Nothobranchius furzeri: one gene and its partner. The protein of the gene in region 2 purifies or fractionates together with the protein of the main gene of each other region. This does not show direct contact. Links are inferred from orthologs where the notes say so. Each region holds a gene or a part of one and is shown on either strand. Other genes may lie near its edges.

Evidence for each region. Proteins that work in one complex are often made in the same cells at the same time.
Region 1: the proteins of rpl23 (region 2) and rplp2 fractionate together in Homo sapiens (co-fractionation; 4 studies listed by BioGRID). This does not show direct contact. The link is inferred for Nothobranchius furzeri from reciprocal best matches to the Homo sapiens genes RPL23 and RPLP2.

The regions. Positions count from the first base shown.
Region 1 is NC_091743.1:70,041,234-70,044,612, reverse strand, and holds rplp2 (60S acidic ribosomal protein P2), read left to right. Parts: upstream 1-1,141; 5' UTR 1,142-1,259; intron 1,260-2,155; 5' UTR 2,156-2,156; coding exon 2,157-2,279; intron 2,280-2,348; coding exon 2,349-2,397; intron 2,398-2,470; coding exon 2,471-2,569; intron 2,570-2,643; coding exon 2,644-2,720; 3' UTR 2,721-2,772; downstream 2,773-3,379. UniProt on the Homo sapiens protein: Plays an important role in the elongation step of protein synthesis.
Region 2 is NC_091758.1:12,992,866-12,996,513, forward strand, and holds rpl23 (large ribosomal subunit protein uL14), read left to right. Parts: upstream 1-1,159; 5' UTR 1,160-1,263; coding exon 1,264-1,276; intron 1,277-1,726; coding exon 1,727-1,810; intron 1,811-2,101; coding exon 2,102-2,230; intron 2,231-2,480; coding exon 2,481-2,594; intron 2,595-2,938; coding exon 2,939-3,021; 3' UTR 3,022-3,052; downstream 3,053-3,648.

The DNA of each region.
Region 1 (3,379 bases), on a different chromosome or scaffold from region 2:
CTGGTGTGACGTAGCCTGGCCTTTTCTTTACCCTAATATGCACTTTTGCGCTGATGACACAATCATTTACTGTTTTGGAACATCCCCCACTTGAATTACTACAGAAAGCTTTTAATGTGGTCCAACAAACCCTTCTGCAGTTAAAATTGGTCCTCAGTGCTGACAAGACTAAGCTAATGTTGTTTTAAAACTCTAAAAATACCTAAGTATGCCCTCAGTGACCACTCTTTAGGGAAATATCATAGAGGTGGTCCACACATATACATGGAGTCTGGCACGATCACTCCCTCTTCAAGCTCCATATAGACAATCTTGTGAAGAAACTCAAACTCACACTGGGTTTCTTTTTCAAAACAGTGTTAAATATATATATAATAAAAAATAATAAGATTATATATTTAGTTATAGATATATAGATATATAGTTTTTTTGTTTTGGCAAAAAAAAAAACTAACAAAAAAAACTAGTTACTGCAATATTTCTGTCTAATCTGGATAGTGAAGACCTTTTGTATATGAATGCCTCAGCACAGTGTTTTTGTAAGATTGATGTGGTTTATCATGCCTCGCTGAGGTTTATTACTAACTTAGACCACAACCCATCATTGTGGGTCATATTAGCATCCCGAGTGGGATGGCCTTCTTTGTCCACCAGGAGGTTGGGACATTGGTATACTTTCATTTATAAGGCCATGCTTAGCTTACTTCCGAATTAAGTCTGTAACTTAATCTCATGGAGAAGTGTAACTTTTCACAGTCTGCGTGCAATCAATCGTTACTCTGGGTTTTGTTTTCTCGCCGAACTGTGTAAAGGCTTTCGTTCACTCTTCTCCTTCTGCATGGCACAGGCTGCAGGAAAACTGGAAATTAACGGAGTTTACTTCGTTGAACACATTTTAAACCAGACTGAGAGCCCTTGAGATGGATCCCCTGTGTTGTAACTGCCTTCTGTAATTTTGTACATAACATATATGTGTCGCTGAAAAATTTGTAACTGTAACTTTTGCTGCCTGTTGGCCAGGACTTCCTTGAAAATTAGGCTTTTAACCTCAATGGGGTCTTCCTGGTTAAATAAAGAATAAAGAAATCATATCTCCACACAACCTGAGATTGGCCTTGGAGGAACATGATTGGACACCATTGTTTTATTACAACCAATTAAATTAACGCACTGAACTTCTTTCAACTTCCGGTTCCGCCTCTCCTTCTCTTCCGGATTTCGTAGCGTGACCGACGTTTCGTGTCTATTTAGACTTAAAAGTAAGTCCAAAATTGAGAGTTATGAATTATATTGTTTGTTCTTTTCAGTCACATCGCGTTTTAGACGTTTATCTCCCTCAGTTGTTCAGTTAAATGTGTTTCCAATGTTTCCTCGTTTGTTGCAGCGTAGCCAGAAATGGTAAAACTGTCGGTCGCCATGCTGCTTCGTTTAGCCATTAAACACTAATAACGTAGATACACGCTCAGAACCAAAATGTGCTCTTTGCTGCAATGTATTGGCAACAGTTTTCAAGCAGCCCTTTAAGTCAAACGTCTTCATGTATGCATTTATGAAAGTCGTGTACCATTTTACACTAAACTAAAGCTGATGTTTGCTAGCATCTGCTTGCTAAATGCTAACCACTCGGTGCCTTAAGTATGAAGTCCCGTCGCTCTGTGCTTATTTGCTTCAACAGAGAAACTGACTGTTGTATTGTAATAATTTAAACTGAATCTAAAGTGAATTCGAAAATATTGTCATTTGCTAGCACCAGTTTTAGAGGGCCTGTTAGCAGCTAGCAATTGATTTAGTTGGTCACTTTCTACATTAATCAGACTAAACTATATTTTATATCATATCATTCAGGGGTTAAACAACGCAAATAGGGGAGGCAGTGAAACATTTTACTATTAAGGGCTGGGAAGAATTTGCAGCAAATGTAGGTTAATGTCTGCAATCATTTTAACAAAGCATTATGAAATGACAGGATTATGATGAAATCAATTTGAGTAGGTTTGTTATTGGAAACTAGGCCAGTTAATATAAAAAAAAATTTAAATCTCTGATAGTGGTTGATTCTTAACTACAAAATAAATACAATTTAGGGAATTTAGGAAGTTCTAATGTTGCTTTCATTCATTTTCTTTGAAATAAACCTGATTATTTTTTGTGTCAGAATGCGTTACGTGGCCGCTTACCTCCTCGCTTCACTGGGTGGAAACACCAGCCCCTCTGCAAAGGACATCAAGAACATCCTAGGTAGCGTGGGGATTGAGGCCGATGACGAACGCTTGAATAAAGTATGTTGTTGGTGGTTTACTGTTGAAACTATGTATTTTCCATGTGGTTAAATGTTATTTTCTCAACAGGTCATCAGTGAGCTGAATGGAAAGGACATCAATGACGTCATGAATTCAGGTTAGTGGCTCTTAAAACTGAAAATGCTAAGTTCAGTGTCCTGCAGTTTCATGAGTTTTTCTTTTGGTCACAGGCCTCTCCAAGTTAGCCTCTGTACCAGCAGGTGGTGCTGTAGTGGCACCTGCCGCTGCTGCTGGTGGGGCCGCTGGAGCTGGGGCTGCCCCTGCTGCTGGTACGTAATTATGCCTGTAGTAATATCTTTAACTTTTTTCCAACATTAACATTTGACTTTAATTTGCTTTGCAGCGGAAGAGAAAAAGGAAGAGAAAAAAGAAGAATCAGAAGAGTCAGACGAAGATATGGGCTTTGGGCTCTTTGATTAATCTTCCTTCTCTTTGTATAAAAAGCAATAAAAATGTAAAAGGTTTACACACATTCTTTTGGTCCTGGATTTATTTTAGAATTTTAAAACAGTAAGTACTCAAAAACATTTAAGTTTTTAAATTTAATCATTTCTAAGGATTCTTGGTAAAGGTTATTCTCTCTCCTAAGAGTGGTAAAGATGAGACATCCAGATGGCATTATGCAATCATAAACGTGTGTGTTCAGTCTTGTAATATCTAAAACCACAAAAGCCCTGTTAACTCCTAATACTAGGGCTGAAGGAGCCAAAGAGCTGCTGTACATAAATACTTTTTTCTGTGTATTTGTTAAAAAGAAAGGACACTATGTTCTAACTTCAAGGCATGTTTGCACTTGAATTTCCTAGAAACCCCTTAAACCAGTTATGCAATGTAAAGACAATATAATTAAGCAGTGGTTCTTTTTTCTTGAGGTAAAATGATTACGTTTTTAGTGTTCACTTTATTTTTGTCGAAAAATATTAACTCAAAACTGCATTTTAAAAGCAGAGTTGTGCAGGCATGCTGGCCTCTGCAGCAAAGCAGTCACCATGTGCATTTATAGATGGTGTGTGTGTGTTTGCTTAATTCATTAGTCATGGTACTTGTGACACCTGTCATGTAGCACCTTTTGTAAACTT
Region 2 (3,648 bases):
TAGTTTCTCATGATTTCACGTGGTTTTTGGACTTCTGTTCTGTTTTCAGGCAGACTGGGAACACCGCCCCAGCTGTCTCACCGCTACAGCTAATAATCACTGCTTCAGTTGACACACCACATTACTTAATGATCAGATTTTTCATCACCAAACTATTGCTTTAGTCATTCACTCTGATCATTAAATGATATTGTGTTACCAGGAGTTATAATAGGTTTATTGTGGCTGGCTATCAGGGGATAATGTCTTCCCTCAGCTAACAGATGATGAAAACAACCCTGGTACTTTCATTCAGTCACTCCACGTGTCTCTAATTCATCAAAACTATAATTTCCTGCTTTGATTGGAAAAGGTATGTGTTGCATATTTTAGGTGTCTCTACTGCAGCCTCTAATAAACTAAACCCAGGCCTCGGGTCTGGGTTGTCATATTCGTCCTGTGCCGTCCTCCCTCCAAACACCAGTTATCACGTTTACTGCTGGAGCTCAGTGGGGCTGCTGGTCCATTTCCAGGACAACCCAACCATCCTGCTTGGTTTCTTTTCTTCCTCTATCGCTCTCAGCAGGGGCAGGCTGAAGAAAACTGTAATGAAACACTGACATCTAGTGGAAAATAGACCACTGCAAATGTTTGTTGAGAATCCAGCAACGACGCTCTGAAAAATGATAAAACGTTTGATTTACGACTTCCTTTAATATGTGTATTGAAGATTGTTTCTTCAAATAGTCTGTTAAACGTTAAAATGTCTGGATGGGTATTTTCCTTAGTTTTACCCCTAAGGAAATTTTAAAATTGTTGTCGTTATTATTAATGCCTCTCATCTCCACCAGTGTATGAATGTGTGTGTGAATGGATGAGTGATACACTGTAGTGTAAAGCGCTTTGGAGTCCTTACTCTGAGAGGTGCTATATAAGTGCAGGTCATTTTTCATTTATTATTATTATTATTATTATTATTATTATTATTATTATTATTATTATTATTATTATTTTATTGTTGTTGTTGTTTTATGACACTATATCCTAACGTGGGAGTCTCTAAACGTTTATTATATTGTAATTTTTATTGTGTTTAATTGTGAAGTAATGGATCTGAGAAAGATAATAAAAGTATTCTCTACTTTTAAACTAAATACGTTTTAAAAACAAAGTCACGCCCCCCAGGCTCATACGCACTGCTCCTCTACGTGACCCGGAAGTAGTTTCCTTCACCTTTATAAGGTCTACTTCCGTTTTTTGCCTTTCTCTTTCCCTGCCGCAGCCATGTCTAAGAGAGGTAGGTTTATCATCATATGAAATCCACCTTCATCTGCTGTTTTAGTTTTACCCAGAGTTCCTAATGATGCTCGTTTAGGACAGATTGATAATAAACCACACGTTTCTGTGGCTCGTTCGGAGTTTTTCTCACGCTTTAATGATCCGGAGATGATAGCATTGTTGCATTTCAGTTCTCGGAGCCATGTTTGCTTCAGGGCCGTGAAGGCGAGCTGGACTGCATTAGAGCTGCAGGTTGGAAATAGACGTTTGTGTCAAACTACGCGGCTGTTTATCGACAAGTAGAGAAAACAGGAGCTAGTTAACTACCGTAGACTAGCTAATAGCTAGCCGGTGTGAACTCGAGGTGGACGGAAGAGGAAGTGCTAGCTAAAGCTGGGCTACAGCCGAGGCTGTGTGGAGTTTCAAGCACCGGTGGAGCCTTGGACTGATTAGGGTCCTCTCGTTGCAGGACGTGGTGGTTCGTCTGGAGCGAAGTTTCGCATCTCACTGGGTCTCCCAGTGGGAGCAGTCATCAACTGTGCAGATAACACAGGTACGTCTTACCTGCCCTGTATAAAAGCTGGATTCAAGGCGCACCTCATGCCTGTTGGGTCACCTAACATCCAGCCTGGACTGGAGGAAGGGGCCTTCAGTCCCACACACACACCTACTTGTATTCTCAAAATTACACTAACACTTATTTTATTCAAGTGTGAAAGTGAAAACGGGCAAATATGTTATAAATTACTTGAGCTATTTAATGAACTGTGTAGTTGAGCGGGAGGGTCTGGGCATTTAGTTCCAGTAATCCTGTTTTCATGCTTGTTTTCCTTCTGACTCACAGGTGCTAAGAACCTGTACATAATCTCTGTGAAGGGCATCAAGGGTCGTCTGAACCGTCTCCCCGCTGCAGGAGTGGGGGACATGGTCATGGCCACAGTCAAAAAAGGCAAACCAGAGCTCAGGAAGAAGGGTGAGTGGTAACAGCTGCATTGGGTTTGATCTGTCCCCCGTTACACACAAAACGAGTGTGGTGCATGTAAGGGGGGTACTTCTCTTGGGAATGGACACGGCTGGATCAAGTTGAGTTTCGTTCAAAGAAATGTTTATGTGCCAGTTGTCCGTAAGTGCGACTACAGAGAAGCGATTAGTCTGCTTTTGGGGCACAGCTGCATGTTTCCACCTCGCAGTCACCTGTGATAACACCACTGCTCCTCTCCCAGTGCATCCTGCGGTGGTGATACGGCAGCGGAAGTCGTATCGGCGAAAAGATGGAGTGTTCCTCTACTTTGAAGACAACGCAGGTGTTATTGTGAACAACAAAGGAGAAATGAAAGGTGTGTTTTTAGTTTCAAGGCATTAGCTGCTGTTTCTGTGAGATGTAGACTGTCAGTGTCTTCGCACCACGGTAAATCTGTGTGTGGTTAAGAGTGCTGGTGGCGTGAAGCGCCCCCTTCCAAAAGCACTTGCTTGGTCTGCTCAGTGGCTGGGTGAGTTGTCGAGGAAGGGCAGAATGACTTCATCACTGTGGGTGAGACAGCAGAGACCTTCTGTGACTGACTGATCTCAATCAGGGATGAGACAAATGTTGCTCCACCAAACTCAAACCCATTTCTAGCCTTCTGCCTTTTCAGCCTGCTGCTTCATTTGGACCGCAGTAACGTCTCGTCTCTACCTGCAGGTTCAGCCATCACAGGCCCAGTGGCCAAGGAGTGTGCAGACCTGTGGCCCAGAATCGCTTCCAATGCCGGCAGCATAGCCTGAGACTGTGTTTACAATAAAAGCTGTTCATCAACCCAGTGGCCTGGCGACTTCATTTAACGTCACGTTGGGTGTGGCGCCCTGTGATGTGGATGTGGTGGTGCCGTAAGCATAATCGTACTGGAGACAAGGCTGGAGGAACCAACCGCAGCCTGCTTTAGTGTAGAGCAGGGCCATTACCAGGGGTGTCCAATCCTGGTCCTGGAGGGCCGGTATCCTGCATGTTTTAGTTTGAACTGTTTCAACACACCTGATTTTAATCAGCAGCTAATTAATAGGCTTCTGCAGAGCCTGATGAGCTGCTGCACAGGTGTTTCAACCACTGAATCAAGCCTGTTGGAGCAGAAAAACCACAAAACCTGCTGGATACCGGCCCTCCAGGACCAGGATTGGACACCCCTCCTCTAATCCAACACTAAATCCAGTGGTTGAATCACCTGCTGCTGGGGTCAGCTGTGTTGCAGCAGGGTTAAAACCAAAAGGTGCTGGATACCGGCCCTCTAGGCCCAGAATTTAATAGCCCAGTTGTAGAGCGATAACCTGGATGAGGTGTTGACATGCCTTCAAGTACCGCTCACACACAGGTAGCTGATCTGCATGCTCGCATGACCGATTGGATTATAAATGATT